Linked DNA regions of Neurospora crassa OR74A. The protein of the gene in region 2 binds, or shares a complex with, the protein of the main gene of each other region. Links are inferred from orthologs where the notes say so. Each region holds a gene or a part of one and is shown on either strand. Other genes may lie near its edges.

The links. Proteins that work in one complex are often made in the same cells at the same time.
Region 1: NCU03834 (region 2) and arp-4 share a complex: the UniProt entries of both Schizosaccharomyces pombe proteins name them as parts of the nuA4 histone acetyltransferase complex. The link is inferred for Neurospora crassa OR74A from reciprocal best matches to the Schizosaccharomyces pombe genes epl1 and alp5.

The regions. Positions count from the first base shown.
Region 1 is NC_026501.1:2,711,696-2,719,482, reverse strand, and holds arp-4 (actin), read left to right. Parts: upstream 1-3,151; 5' UTR 3,152-3,320; coding exon 3,321-3,378; intron 3,379-3,459; coding exon 3,460-4,811; 3' UTR 4,812-5,269; downstream 5,270-7,787. Other genes in the region: NCU16368 (hypothetical protein), read left to right, coding at 1-465, 552-652, 723-1,177; NCU16367 (hypothetical protein), read left to right, coding at 1,696-2,670; NCU02554 (golgi complex component), read right to left, coding at 5,270-7,787. UniProt on the Schizosaccharomyces pombe protein: Chromatin interaction component of the NuA4 histone acetyltransferase complex which is involved in transcriptional activation of selected genes principally by acetylation of nucleosomal histone H4 and H2A. The NuA4 complex is also involved in DNA repair.
Region 2 is NC_026505.1:2,561,876-2,569,825, reverse strand, and holds NCU03834 (histone acetyltransferase complex component Epl1), read right to left. Parts: upstream 5,418-7,950; 5' UTR 5,116-5,417; coding exon 4,969-5,115; intron 4,799-4,968; coding exon 4,028-4,798; intron 3,968-4,027; coding exon 3,116-3,967; 3' UTR 2,292-3,115; downstream 1-2,291. Other genes in the region: NCU03836 (O-sialoglycoprotein endopeptidase, variant), read right to left, coding at 1-275; NCU03835 (hypothetical protein), read right to left, coding at 948-1,011, 1,095-1,186, 1,279-1,595, 1,811-1,862; cnb-1 (calcineurin subunit B, variant), read left to right, coding at 6,995-7,046, 7,272-7,324, 7,470-7,543, 7,700-7,950. UniProt on the Schizosaccharomyces pombe protein: Component of the NuA4 histone acetyltransferase complex which is involved in transcriptional activation of selected genes principally by acetylation of nucleosomal histone H4 and H2A. The NuA4 complex is also involved in DNA repair.

The DNA.
Region 1 (7,787 bases), on a different chromosome or scaffold from region 2:
CACTTCCTCAGGACACCCTCCCCGCGTGTTCATCAAAATCGACGTCAACTACGGCCGCGCCGGCGTCAAGACCGACTCTCCCGAGTACCCATCTCTAGTCGACGTCCTCCTGGCTGCTGAGCGGGAAGGATGGTTGGTGCTGCATGGCTTGTATACACATGCCGGGCAGAGCTACGGGGCTCGCAAGCTCGGAGATGCTATGCATGTTCTTCACGCTGAATTCATTCACGCCCATAATGCTGCCATGAAGATTCGCGAAAAGAGTCCGGACCATGCTCCTCTGGTGTTATCGGTAGGTGCGACGCCAACGGCGACGACGATCCAGAGCCCTTGGTTTACGGGGGAGTGCGATGTGCCCACGGCAAACTCGCAGGGAAGCATGAGACCATTTGAGGAGGAGCTTAAAGAGTTGTGGGGCGGTTGGCAGAAGGAGGGATATGTGCTTGAAATTCATGCTGGTGTTTAGTGAGTTGGTCCTTTTCACCCTGGTGCTGGCTGACTTTTTTCTTCTATGTACATGTGGCCTCATTGTGCTAACACGGATCTTTCAGCCCGACCCTCGATCTCCAACAGGTCGCAACTCACGCACGACACATCGGTCTTCTTTCTGAAGAAGATATCGGCATCAGCGTAGTTGCCGAGGTCGCCTCCGGTATGTAAAACTCTCTCCATGGATCCCGTAACATTGCAGGAGAGCTAATTTCCCCTGTCAAAAACAACAGTCTACCCGACCCGCGGTCAAAACTCAAAGCCTGAAGCCCTCATCAATGCCGGCTCTCTGGCCCTTGGCCGCGAGCCCGTGGGCCTAGACAAGATAACGAGCAACAACGAGGAGACTGCCAAGCCGTACACTGGCTGGGGCGCCCTGATGCCCTGGGGCGTTCTAGCAGGAACGGAAAAAAAGGACAGGAGCGGCAAGATTCTCGGCGAGAGGTTTCCTAATGACTTTAGGGGCTGGCAGGTCGGCAAGATCAGCCAGGAGCACGGTATTTTGACTTGGGTAGGGGATGAAGGGAAGAAGGCGCCCGAACTTAAGGTGGGTGATAGGGTAAGGGTGTGGCCCAACCATGCTTGCATCATGGGGGCGGGGTTCGAGTACTATCTGATTGTTGACTCGAATTGCCGGGGGCAGGAGGATAAGGTTCGCGATGTTTGGTGTAGATGGAATGGGTGGTAATTATTTACGAACGGGGTAAAGATCAAAGGGCTTCCGAAGCGAGGATAGAGAGGTCAAAATCACCCAACTTCAACAAATTAATTTCTGATTTTGATCCATGCATACAAAGATGAAATATCACTTTCCTAGGATTGTTACGTTACTGTGCACTAAGGCGAGTTTGTGTCTCCTGAAAGTCACTGGAATATAGCTGTTGCATGTAAACAAAAATGGGGTTGGCGTGGCAACCGCTATGGGCCGTCGTTTCCCCCTCCAGCTTTGGTGTATCCGCGCTGTTGTCCAGGGCACCTACAGTTAGCTTCTGCTGTGAACGAACTGTTCCATCAGGGGCAACTTCCGAGCACCGGCGCGTTCACCATACTTCCTTGCAACCTACCTACAACCACCACACCTGAACTCCAAGGTGATGACCACATCCAACACCATACATCACATCTCCAGTTATCGTTGCGCCAGGTCTTGAACAATTCACAGAGCCTCCGCTCTGAATCATAACCCAGCAAACGAATGTCACGAGAATGCCCATAATATCGGAGGAAGAAGAGGAGGATGGCACGATGCTGTCCCACCCTTCAGAAGAAGACAACCACGATGATGGCTCGATATCCGGAGACGAGGATTCTTACGACGAGGATGACATCTCGGACGACGACGGCGACGACGAGCACCTCGCGCCCCCACCGCCCGTCTCGCAACATACCTTCGCCCCTCCCTTCTACGGTCGCCCACCGACCCCTCTCCCACCCTCCCCCTCTTTAACCTCCCTGCTGCGCCCCTCGCGTCCCACTACCCCGGACGCCTCCGACGACGAGACAGTAGCCAACGGCGGCGGTGGGGGTCCAGAGGGCAGCAACGAGCCCCTCCCGCGCGCCAGCCCCCGCGTACCCACGTACGAGTACTACGGCTTCGTCCTCTACCTCTTCAGCAGCCTGTCGTTTTTGATCTACCTACTGTGGGCCTACCTGCCTTCACCGTTCCTGCATGCGTTGGGCATCTACTACTACCCCAACCGGTGGTGGTCGCTGGCCATTCCGAGTTTCCTGACAATGACGCTGGTGTACATCTACGTGGCGCTGGCGGCTTACAATACCGAGTACCTCACACTGCCGTTGGGATCGATTGAGACGATTGTGGATGAGGCGGCGCAGGTGGCGGTGGTGGATGGGAAGGGCCAAATCATTAGGCATGATAAGAAATGTGGCATCAAGGAGGAGAAGAGACAGTATGGGCATGGCTATGGACATGGGAGGCATGGGTCGACGGATAGGGAGGTGCTCTTACCTGGGGGAGGATTGAATTGGAGGGAGGTCTGGAATGAAGGGACGGATGCGGTGATGGATGTGCCACTGGCGGGAGTTTGTGAGGTTTTGTATGGAGAGGGGAGGGAGAAAGGGGTGGAGAGTGAGGAGGATGAGGAGGACTATGAAGGAAAGGGGATGTTGCATAGTCCTGGGAATGGACTGGATGGCTCGAGAGTTGGTCGATGGAGTTAACACAGGTTATGAAGGTCCTGAGACAGGATAGACACCTGATCTCTGCTGTATTGTTGTTTTGTCCATTGTGAAATATGATACCCATTTGTTCTTTTTGGGGGTGGCATAATGCTCTGGGTGAATCCGTTGTCGGTATCGTATACAGCTGAGAGTTCTACTTCCCATGGATGTCGTAACTTTGACTTCTAGGACTTCTAGCGAGTTCGTGGGCTCTGGATCAGCAACGACAGGCCAGCGACAATCTTTGAGGAGTTTAACCAAAGCTAACTGCTCATGTGCGTCTTACTTCTCTTCAAGCTTAAAAGACCTATCAACAAGTTAACAGAGCTCTTGACAGGTTCGTTGGATTGCTATTTCCATTTTCTGTCCCTGATGCCCTATTACCGTAGAGGTACGTACCGCGCCCCACTTTTATGTAGCTGGAGGAGAGCCTGTCCGGCCTTTTACTGGTATTCACGCGCGCGCGCCCCTCGTCTTTGAAGCTCCGTTGTCAAATTCCATTTGATTTCCAGTTCATCGAACTTCAACGGAACGCGACGGGACCGAGCTATTAGACGCGCAGCGCTGTTTGGAGATCCCCGCTCACACCACTTCTTGCCCTCCGATAATACACCTCAGCGATTTTCCATTATACAGCGTCGGTGCCTAACATGTCCCACCAACAACCTCTCTCGTCGTCGGTCCAGCCGACTGACATCTATGGCGGAGGTAAGCCTAGTCCAAACGCCTCTGACCAGCGACATTGCCCAAGCTTCAAGGCTTGCAATTGACGGCTGATTATTTCCTTAGATGAGGTATCCGCGCTTGTTCTCGATCCGGGCTACTGCAACACTCGCGCCGGCTATGCTGGCGAGGAAATGCCCAAGCAAGTTCTCCCTTCTTTTTACGGCCACATCAATGGGCGTGACGTATTCGGCGACGAGTATATCGTGCCAAAACCGGGCTTCGAAGTGCGCAACTACATGAACCGCGACAGCGTTGTCGAAGATTGGGATGCTGCCACCAGGATGTGGGAACATGTTCTCGTCAAGCGTTTGCAGCCCGAGCGATCAACACCTCCCAGCAAAAAGGGTATCAACATTAGTGACGATGGCGATGTGCCCATGGAAGACGATGGAAACAACAACGAGGATGCTACGGACGCGCTGGAGAAGCCACTGGCCGAGAACCCTCTTCTTATGACCGAAGCGCCGTGGAACTCGCCCAAGGCGCGCGAGAAGGCCATCGAAATCAGCATGGAGACTTGGGGCGTGCCCGCATTCTGGCTTAGCAAGACACCTGTGCTCGCAGCATTTGCGGCCGGAAAGGCCACGGCTCTGGTAATAGACGTGGGCGGTGCCAACACGAGTGTCACGGCCATCCACGACGGCATGGTCCTCAAGCGATCGATTCAAAGGTCTCCGGTGGGCGGTGTTTGGCTGAGCAGCCAGATCTGCAAGATGTGGGACGGTAGTGAGCCCAAGGTCGACGTTGTGCCGCGGTTCATGGTCGAGAGTAAGAAGCCCGTGGAGGCCGGTGCGCCTGCCGAAGCCAACCTGCGAAAGTTTAACTTCGACATCCACCCGTCCTTCCGCGCTTACGAGGAAGAGCGTGTTCTCACCGAGTTCAAGGAGTCTGTTGTCGAGGTGTGGCGTGGTCCCCAGCGGTTCACGACCCCCGGAAACGAAGATGCTGTCCGTACACAACCCGGCCGGGTCTTCGAGATGCCCGACGGCAGCAATCAGATGTGGCGTGAGCAGCGCTTCAAGGTGTCGGAGGGCATGTGGGACGAGACGGCTGCCTATAACAGCACTGACGAGGAAGGACGTGTTACTAAGGCTCAGACGATCCCGGCTCTCATCAAGGCGGCCCTCGAGGGTGTTGATGTTGATCTCCGCCCCAACATCCTCGGCAACGTTGTTGTCACGGGTAGTACAAGCTTGTTGAACGGTTTCAACGACCGTCTCAACCACGAGCTCGCGCAAATGTACCCCGGTGTGAAGATCAAGATCCATGCGGCGGGTTTGACGACCGAGAGACGCTTCGGTGCTTGGATCGGAGGAAGCATTCTCGCCAGTCTCGGAACCTTCCACCAAATGTGGATTTCGCGAAAGGAATATGATGAGAACGGCGCGGGCATTGTCGAGAAGCGCTGCAAGTAGGATTTCACTTTGTCAATTGCAGAAAAAGAAAGTTGTCGAGGCATGAAGTGGAAAACCCTCCCACGCCGCGCTATGGAAATGGCGGGAGGCTACAAAACATCGGATTCCAAGTCAGGCCACAATGGTTGATGCCTAAAGTGCTCACACATTCATGGAGTTTGTGTGGGGTGGAGTGTGGTGGTCATATAAGATGGGCATGATATTTTCTACGTCGCTAATTATCAGGCAGGTGTATGTTATGGTCGCACGATATGGCGCGGAGGCGTTCCGGAGAAATGGATTTTCAATGCTTTCAGCTTATGAAAGATACACGCCAACCATTGCCTGTATTGCCAGTTTTGACTTTAATCACGGCTAGATCCCAGAGCTTCAACTGTCTCCAAGTAGTTCATTCACCGTAAAGCTTCTACGTACAAAGTGTAATTTCTTCTAGACAATCCATAATCCTCTCATCAGTCCTACCTGTCAATGGGGCAGCTATACTCTCTCTTCGTTCCAAAACTAGCTCCTTTGGAAACCGCGCCCCCATGTTTCATCTCAAGAGCGTCCAGGCATGCTTGATGGTAGATGTGTCTGCAGGCCAGCACAACCAGAGGGCTAAGCTTCTGTTCCCGGTTTGCCACTATTGGCCCTTGCACGCCTTCATGTCCAGAAGTGTTTGCTTGCTGGTTCGGGTCGTTCATTGACTCCCCTTGCTGCTTCAATTGCGGGCTCACAGCCTTTCCCTTGCCCTTCCCCTTTCCATCTCCATTTGCATTTCCATTATACTTCTCCCCACCCTGGGGCCCGTCCGTTGCCGGCCACGCATGATCCTTGCCCTTCCCCCGTTCAGTAGTAGCACTCGCCGCCTTGTTTTTGCTCATGGTGAGTTGCTTCCTCGCCTGGCGTTGACTCTCCTCAGCAGCCTGGCGATCTTCCCACGCTTCGTAGACATTACCCGCCACACCAGGACCCCAAACTCGCCGGCCGCAGGCCTCGCAGGTGGAGCCTTTAGGACGCCAACCTCGCTGGCGGAGTTGGACGGCTTGGCTTACACTCACAAAAAGACTGCGTTCCAAAAGCCGGTTTGAGAGGCTAAGGATGGATTCTTCGTATGCGTATGCGGCGAAGATACTGGAGAGAACTGAACGGAGATCTGCAAGGTTAGGCGACGACGCCGCGGCGCGAGTGAGGAACGCACGAAGAATACGGAGGAAGGATAGATTGGCGTTTATTGCTGGAGGTTGTATATCACCCGTGTCTGCTGCAGATCGAGAGGTACGGGTTGATGTGGATGAGAGGAGGGCTGTAAAGGTGTCTTGCACGAGCGATCGTGCCAAGGTGACAAGCTTTTCTGTCTCTAATGACATATGGAATGGTTCACTGTTGGGGTTAGAATCGCCGTTCATAAGCTGTGCTTGTGCTGAATCATCTGGGGGTGGTAGCTGCAAGGCTGAAGTAGCCCGCTTGGTGATCTGTACACAGCTCTCAACCAAGCTGAGCCAGAGTTGCTCGTCGGGCGAAAGCTCGTCTTCAGAATTTGATTTGTGTCGTTGACGTGTATTACCACTCTCTCGAGCGGCTTTGGTTTGTTCCTGACACAGCCAAACGCCCACACGAGTGTAGTTTTGCAAAGCTTGCATAAGTTCCTCCGTACTTTCTTGGGAATTGAGATCTCCTTGCGACTGAGAGGCGGTTCCGGTCAATAGACCGTATAAGGCTGATTCAAGAGTTTCCAAGTGTCTCGTCAGTCGCGCCATGGCCTCCTTCACTTGCCCTTCTTTCGCCATCAGTATGACGGCAGCGTCGATTACACCCGTCTCTTCCATCGTAGGCAGTAGCTTCTCTAACCTCAAGTTCGTAGCTTGGACTTTGTTTACGTATTCCGGTACATGTGATGGTTCAAACTGGCACATGAGCTGCAGATACTGCTCCACAAGATCTTGTTGAGGCGGACGGACGTTCATCACCTCCTTACTTGGCTCCAGTATCATCTTCAGATAAGTATACCGAAGGTGCGGCTGCTCAGAAACGGAATCCAGGACGTGACTGTGCAACTCTGGAGCGTAGGTCCCTATTGCTTGCGCCGCTCTAACAGAGTCAATCTGGACTAGTTTACCGGCGTGATCCTTGATGACCTGATGTACGTCCTGTATCTGGCGACGGGTAAGACCTGAGTGCGGTCGGAGACAGAGTTCGATGCAGTCAAAGATAGCTTCCCGCTCATTCGGATCTTCGAAGTAGGTCAGAGTCAATTTCCCATACTGTTTGTCTGCTTTGTATATACGCTTCAGTATCCGATAAAATCCAGCCTCCTTGAACCGCGGTATCAAGTCGGGTAGATCTGGCGGATGATAAACTGAAAGTAGATATTCGGCGCTTAGTTGGGCATCCTCGGCAAGGTCATCCCCTGGATATCGACACAGCTCGACCAGGACCTTGGTAAGTGTCGATCCCGTGAAAAGAAGGTATTGCGGGTACTTGGGAAGGTTTCTGGCAATAAACATATCGAGATAGATAGTGTCTTCCTTGGCAAAGTCTGCCGAGCTCATTATCTCCATTAAGATGGAGGTAATGTACTGTCTGTCTACCGTCAGACCAAATATTTCTTCCTCTGAAAGATCACGACTTGGGCCACCAGCAAGCTGCTTTTCAGGTGAATCGTTCAAGAAGGAGTCTTCAAAGGCCTCGTTGAGCACGCTCAGGAAGCTGGGTGCGTCAAAGTTGAGAATCATCCTCAAGTAGGGGAAGGATGGCTCTTGAGACTGTTCTGGTTGCGTAAGCAGCCTCTTGCTACTGCCCTTAGGCCAGCAGATACTTTTGCCCGAAAAGAGAAACCAGTAAATCTCCGCTTTAGCCTTTTGAGCTACAACATCAGGAATTGTGTCCCCAGTAGGATAGGTCTTCCCGGTCAGGATAAACGACAGATATGGGAAGATCTTCAGTGCATTCGTTTCTCTAGTTTCGTTCTCCAACACGCTTGTTGTACCATCTGCA
Region 2 (7,950 bases):
GGCCCCTTGGTGTAGCAGATGCAGTCGATTTCCGAGATGGAGACCCCCGACAAGGCGAGCGCCTTCTTGGCTACACGCACAAAGTAGGCACGGTGGTGTCGGGCTGTGTCCTTGGGAAGGAAACCGGTGCCGGGAGGAGAGACGAAGGTGTCGCGCACGTTGGACAGGACAAGGGCTTCGCCGGTGATGGGGTCGTGCGCAATGATGCCGATGCCGAGCTTGTTGGCGGAGCCTTCGCATCCGAGAGCGATGCGGCGGCCTTTGGCGTCGGGCATTGTTGGCTGTTGGGGCTTTGTTGGATAGAGCGAGGGAGGGAGAGGGTTTCGGTTACTTGGTGAATCGGGAGCCGGTTGCTTCGTATCAGATAACTCGCAAGGATATTTCGTTGGGGATGTTTATCGAGGACCTTGATATCCTTTGGTTGTTGATAGGCGTCGCGTCGCGTACTGAATAGGATGGATGGATGGATGTTGTCAGTGCCACATCCAATGCCAGATGTCAGATGGAGAAAGTGATAATGGAGGGGCACCTTTTTAGAGTGGGGAAAATTTCGTCGCGTCTGTGAATACCTAGGCTAGGCGCGCCGTAGTGATCAAGGTGACGAAACTCGAGATCGAGATGAAAGAGGATGTACATACTTATTCCCCCAGCGGGCCGGTATCCCGTCTCCTAAAACCGGTCGACATGTTCACTACTTGTAACGATGCTTTAAAGCCATTCTCGCCCGTTGTTCTTCTCAAAACAAGGGAACGGCCTCGCCATGGGAATCAGCAATGGGATTTCGTCAGAGCCTTCCATGGAGTCGATGAGGGGTTCAATGAAATGTGGGTCCCCGCAGCCGCTTGTGCACAGTCGAGTGGGACCTTTATGTTGCTTTGGATGCGCAATGCAATGTTATGTAAGGCAGGCACGTAGCGTGGCTCGTGCGCTAGTAGTAGCAACGATTTCTATCCACATATAGCCGCAACGGCGCAAACTGTGACCATGGATGCATGAGTTGTGTAAAAGACACTAGAAGTTTGATTATTTCTAGCTTTTTCGCCATGAGCTGATCCAACAGTTCCATTGCAACAAATATGTGCAGATGAGCTTACGTGATTTGACTTGCTCTGTGGAAGTGCAAAAAGGCTCCGAGCAGTTCGGGGTCTGCCGAGCCTGGGCTTGGGGCTCTCTGCACGGGACCCCACTGCACCGAGAATCAATTCTCCCAGCCAAGCGAGAGTCCGCAGCCGTCCAACCATCTTCCATCCTCCGAGCCTGTATCACCCAACACCTCACCTCGTTGCCGCCAAACCCAAACCTCCCAACCGCACGGCCAGACCTGCCTCTTTCAACAGCCCAGCCGACTTCTTCCTTGTCTTCACCATCCTTTGCCTGCCATTTCTTCGGCAGAACATGGCCGGGCTGCTTCTTGTTCGGTTCTTGCAAGCTTTCGAGCTCACGGGGCCGTCTGGGCCGGATTGGAGGCCGTGAATTCAGCACCGCCCCAAGTCTATGGGGATGGAGATACCCATATTCCCTCTTGAGGTGTGTTTTCCTCGTTCGTCTGACTTCAGAATGCTGCTTTGGCCATCTTTTTGTCTCGCACAACCCGTCTGATGTGGGCTTGATATGTCCGGTACCGTTGTGGGTGAACCTAGGCTGACCAGAACTCTGCACCACAGGACCACCCACCACCCATGGAAAGCTGTTCACTCGACACCTCCATTCTGTCTTCCACCTTCTTTGGACATCGCTTCTTCTTCCGCCTTTCCAAGTCTTTGGGAAATGCTGTTGTGGGCTGCTGGCTTCATGGTTCAAAATCACGAACCTCGCCACCAAGTCAGCAAAGCTGGCCTCCAGTCAGCCAGCCAGCCAACCATTGCTGCTCGGTGATCCCACTCTAGAGCGCCCTCGAACTCTCCTGCTCGAGTTTTCACCAACGTCAAAATCGCGGATTACCAGATCGGAATGTCCCTTTTTGCAAGGCATCTTCGGTTCCGGAAAACCGGCGATCAGCAGTTCTGCCAGAAGCCAGGGTCCTGCACCAAAAGGAGCAGCGGTCTCGACTCCGAAGCCTGGCAACGGAAGACTCGACGTCCAAGCCAGCATCGATATCGTAACGACCGGTCAATTTCTCTCTGCTCGAGTTTTCTCTTTCTCAGCTTTTTTTCCACCTACGTACCTAGCGAGACCTCTTTCTTTGAGGCGTCCCCACTCTTTTATCACCAAGCACGCTGCACGGTCGCTCCGAAAGCCAAAGGGGCGACCCCCGTCTCTACGCTAAGCAGCGACCCGGTCTACCAGGGGCGCGAGGGAACACCTTTTTCTCTTTCTCGACACTTTTGTCGTCCTCCCAACTTCCTGTCTTCTTGTGAAGCGTCCTGTGTCGGACCGCAGCTCGATTGCTGGTTTCCTATTGGCCCACCCGGTTCGCAAATTCTCGCACACCTCCGACCAATTCGCACATCGGCCCAGGGCAGCACCGTGTGTTACCTAAGCCCAAATGTGGCACATGCATACGCTCGCAGCACTTGTCTCGGGGCTGCCGATGACCAAACGCTCGGAACATCTCTGAGATCATTCCTGCTTTCCCCTGGGCAACAACCTCGCGGACGCACCCGGTCTATAAGGCTTCGTTCGCCCTCCAGGCTTTCCAGAAGCGAAGATGCCTTGACAGACATCGAGACCAGCCTCCACGCTTGATGGCCATAGCCACTTTCGTGGTTCAGTCACACTGCACAATACAACACCGCGTGAAGCAACTGATGGGAGCCAGAAGTGGTATTTTACTGCTTTGGTATCTCATTACTGTTGTCGCTGCACAGCTTCTCGCGTGTCTCAGCTATCCGCCGCCATCTACACGATATCGGTACGACTACTTGTTTACATATATACATGAGCCGTTCCCCACTTCGCCAAACCTACGCAAAAGCCGCAACCCAAACGCCTCGCCCCGGCCAGATCCTTCTCTTTAGCCCTGGCCCCATATCGCTAAATGCATCAATCGAGAGTTGAGGGGTATACACAGCAGCGGTCTTCCGAAGTTTATTCGGCTGCTCGACCACCAGCCCGCGAAAAAAGCCAAACGATATCTAAAAAAGATGACAACACAACACTCCTACAAACGCCAATTTTATGACACCGGTTGAGCCTGGGGCTGCGGTTGCGGCTGTGGCTGTGCTACTGGTTGTTGTGGTTGAGGTAGAGGGAGAGATTGTGATTGATTTGGTTGAGGTTGTGATTGCGGTTGTGGTTGTCCCGGAGCAAAAGAAGATTGGGCAAGTTGTTGTGGGACGGCGCCCGGAGGGATGAACTGCCGGTTGATAACCGGTGGGGGAGGTCTTGTGACCGTCTGGAGTGGTATTGAAGCACGGTACCTCAATGCCTTTGTATCAAAGGGGTCCAGCATATACACCGGCGCGTCGTCCTCGTCATCAGAGGACTGATCATACTTCCAGCGATCGGACTGTTCTTCACTGAGGTCTCGGGCTGGACTAGGTAAACCACGACGGTCGATCCACAACCTGTTCAACCGGCCGATACGACGACGATATGAGGGTGGATGCGCCAATGATTGTTCGTCCTGGGCAACGCCCCTGAATTTTACTGGTGGTGGTGGGTTGGGTTTGGGCTTATCAAGATCCATCGGGGTGGGCTCATCCATGGATCCTGAGGATGCAGACGCTGGTGGCGTCATGAGATACTGCGTCTTGGCAGGTCTGAAGCCCAAATCTTGTCTTGGGCCCTGAACGGGAGACAGCGGCTTGCCAGTGAGGTCGACATAGTTCTTGTTCCAGTCGATGTGGTTCTGAATCTTCTTCTCGATCTCGATGATGAGCTCCGCATTCTTCTCGGCAAGGCGATCTGAGAGTTGGACAAGATCTGACTCTGCGGGACGGCCATCGGGGCGCACAGGCATACGGATCTGGGGGGGTGGAGGGGGTCTTTGAGCTGAGGGTGCCTCCGGAGCCTTCCTCTTTTGCGGCTGTTGTGAAGCGTTAGCGTTGGCTGATGTAAGTCTTGCACGTCTTGCCGTTTGACTAACCTTTTGGTTTACTAGATCCTCGTCGCCCGTCCTGATGCCGAGTCGGAGTTTTTGCTCCTTGATGATGGCTCGTTGATCGAAGATGGCTCGCTCTACCTTGAGCATATCTGCCTTGAGCAATTCCCGGTTGTGGGCTGCCAGGATGAGTTGACGACCTTCCTCCAGCTCCTTCCGCAGCCGCTTGAGTTTGTCCGCACTCTGGACATCTCTTGCCCTCGTTTTGCGAGTTTGACGAATCTCTCTTCGGCGAAAGCAGACGTAGGGATCAAGCTCGTCGCTTTCCGCATGTGTCTCGAATTTCAGTGTAGGGTTGAGCGGTCGGTTTTTGCTGATTTCGCGGCGCGACTTCCAGTACTCATATATCTGCTTGGCATGAACCATGACTTTTGTGCTGTCTAATGGCTCCAGTCCTCGCAACATCTCCTGATACGACGGCACTGTCTGGTCTATGGCCGAGAACGGCGTTATGTTCGCCGCCATGTCCTCATACACGTCCATGATCCTCTCGAAATCATCTTCGGAGAGACGAGCAGACGGGGTCAGTTTCATGTTGTAGGACTTGAGGAACGTCTCATCGTCCTCGGTCATGTCATACAAGCAACTGATGCATTCTTCTACCGTTTGGGAAAAACGGATATACGTGGATGTCTTGGCCACCTTTTGAGGGTAGAACTGGTCGTAATCCAGTTCACTCTGCTGTGGAGGGGGGACAGGAATCTCCTGGTCGGCGGCGACTCCTGCCCCCTTGAGCACAGCTTGAAGATGGTATTCCTAGTTACAGAAGGGGTAAGGTCAGCACCGGTGACATGCATGGCTGTGTGCATGGAAGGTAGGTAAGGTGAGTTGGTGATGGAGGCGTGATGGAGGCGCGGCAGACGGGTGGCACGTGCACGTGCACGTGACCCCGGTCGCGATCAATCGGACATAGGTGTTGAACTCACATTTTCCTCGGCCTGTTCGACACCGGTGGCTATTTGGTTTTCGGAAGTGAGTGATTCATACTCAGAGGCTTCAATTTGATCCTCCCTGAGCACCGCAAGTTGTGTTTTGACACTCAGTTTCTTGTACCGAACCTTGCGGGTCGCCATGGTGAAGGTGTGGGCAATTGCGGCAGAAAGGCCTGGGGAAACCCCGACGAAATTTTTTTTTATCTCATGCGGGATTGCATGCGAAATCGAACCGTCGAGTTTTTTGATGGAAAACTCGCGTCGTGGGTGATATTTTGATGGGCAAAATCTGGTCCCTTGATGGAGTGTCGTTGAGGTTTCGGCGCAGATTTTGCTGTTTTGGCGGCGGATTCGACGGCCAATGCACGGTCTTGGCGATTGGCTGGGCTTCTGCTCTTGCGAAGCCTGAATGGCGGGGGGAGGGGTTGAATGGGGTGGTTTTGGGCGAAGTTTTGCTGGTCGCGCTGGCTTTGCTGGCTTTTCAGGGAGGGAACGTAAGCGTGGTGCCCACTGCCCGGGCCGTCCATGGTCTGCGCGTCCACTCGCAACGAACCAGTCAACCACCACTGCCAGTGGCCACTGCACTGTTTGAAAGTTGGAAGCGCGGGCGCGCCTCCAAGGAACCCGATCCGACGACTCCAACCTCGACTGCCCGCCTGAGAAGCCAAGCTGCCAACTGGAGCCCAAGGCAGTGCCAGCCCGCTCCGATAAGAGCAATATCGTCATGTAAGGTAAGGATTGGCGTGCAATCTTACAGAGATACACCGCGGCCTCATTGATTCTACTCTTTTGTTACCTGTTTTTGCTTGTTTTCAATCTTACTATCAGAACCCTTTGGCTCTTGGTGGAATGACGATGCAAGCAAGCATTTGCTGGTCGTCATAGACTCCTTGAACTGAGGGCATTCGGTGCGCAACCTGACAACACCCAAGTTGGATCCAAATAAAAGACTGATATCCTGCACCACTTCCTCTCCATGTCGTTGATATCGCATTCAATATTCAACGACAACTTGTGACTGTCTGGAGATTTGGGCATTTGACTGTTACCAGTGCACCGCAGCCAAATAAAGATGGAGTCCGAGGTGCAAATCATATGCGCAGCAGCACACATGCGATGCATTCCTTTAAGAATTCCTAAAACGGTCAATGGTTGGTTTGGTTTCAACGAGGAGGCACGCGAACAGTTCCAACAGACATCAACCCTGACCGTCGAAAGGGGCAGCGTGTTGAAATGAATCAATCAATGGGCTGATACGAGATGAGGAGGAGAAGTGGCCCGTGCATCCCACTTCTTACCCCACCATCCACGGCATAGATCCTCGTGCCTGCCCCCGCTGTCCGCCTGCCCAGCCGAGCCAAAGGCCGCGGCCCGCCTCTCCCTCTTTTGCCTCCGTTCCAGTCTGTGACCGCCAAACCGAAGAGGGGACCTGCCGACTGCGGGACGACAGTAGCCGCGGCGGGCTGCTGCTCTGCTGGTGTCAGCCCAGGAGTGCTCGTGAATGGGAGGCCCCCGCTGTTCGGTGAGGCAATCGAGCGCCGCACTGCAGCTATGGACTAGTAGTGACAGCCCGAGCTACCTGGACCTTGACCACTTGTCAACCACCACTGGTGGCATCCCATCTCAGCCTTATTCCTGCCTTGTCCAGACCCTTATCGACCCGGAGTCGACCCCTAATTCCTCCAACCTGTGAATACCTCCTGCCTCGCACTTTTTTCTTTGCTGCTCAAGTGTTAACCCACCACCCAGCGCCCGAACTTCTTGCCAAAGTGACGACGACTACCGACACGACCCATTCGTATCCGATCGCTTCAGCGTCGCATCACGTCGCATCTTTCGGCACAGGCACATTGCTATCATCACGAGCACGACAACCAGCGGTGGAAAGGAAACAGAACAAACCGAGAACTTGTCGACGATTCAGCACGGCGATTTGTACACCACCGTGCACTTTGATACCCAGTAATACAGATATCCATCGGTCGAAAGAGTCCAGCAATACACAACACGAGCAGCAACCATGGGCAACACCACCAGCTCCGTCCTGGACAACATTGTCCAGGGATCCAACTGTACGTTTCGCTCGGCGACATGTTGAAGCCTACAACCCTCTACACTCTTCGTTATGTCCTGAACTTTGTCGCATCGACAGCGGTGCAAAATTGTTACTCTCTTCTACGACGAAGTCACAGAGATATGGAGATGCACATTGCATGCTGCTTTACATCAACAAGCGCTATGCGCCTTTCTTGCAAGTTCTTGTCAAGATCACTTTACTAACACACCCTTTTTAACAGTCGACAGGGAAGAGGTTGACCGCTTGCGTAAGAGGTTTATGAAGTTGGACAAGGCATGTTTTTGCACATCCATTCCCGTCCTGCGATCTTGTCCAGCTTAACTGTTGTCGCAAGCCAACAAAAGCATAAGTCGAGCGGTCAAGACGGTGGGCTTGTTGTCGGAATAACTGGCTAACCGGGCGGGATCTGGTTTAACAGGATAATTCCGGTACCATCGAGCGCGAAGAGTTCTTGAGCCTACCGCAAATATCGACAAATCCTCTGGCTACAAGGTTCGTTACATTCTACCCCTATACCTACCCTTGCTCATATCAGTATATCGCATGCTTCTGGCTTTCTCCGCGTGGAAATGCTGTCTGGGCACAATATGCGACATCATTTAGAGTGAAGACTGGCGACTAACGGTTTCCGACTTGGGTGTTATGCAGAATGATTGCCATCTTCGACGAAGACGGTGGTGGCGACGTCGACTTTCAAGAGTTCGTATCCGGCTTAAGCGCCTTCTCGAGCAAAGGCAACAAGGAGCAGAAGCTGCGGTTCGCTTTCAAGGTGTACGACATTGACCGTGACGGGTACATCAGCAACGGCGAGTTGTTTATCGTACTGAAGATGATGGTAGGCAGCAACCTTAAGGACCAACAGCTGCAACAGATTGTCGACAAGACGATCATGGAGGCGG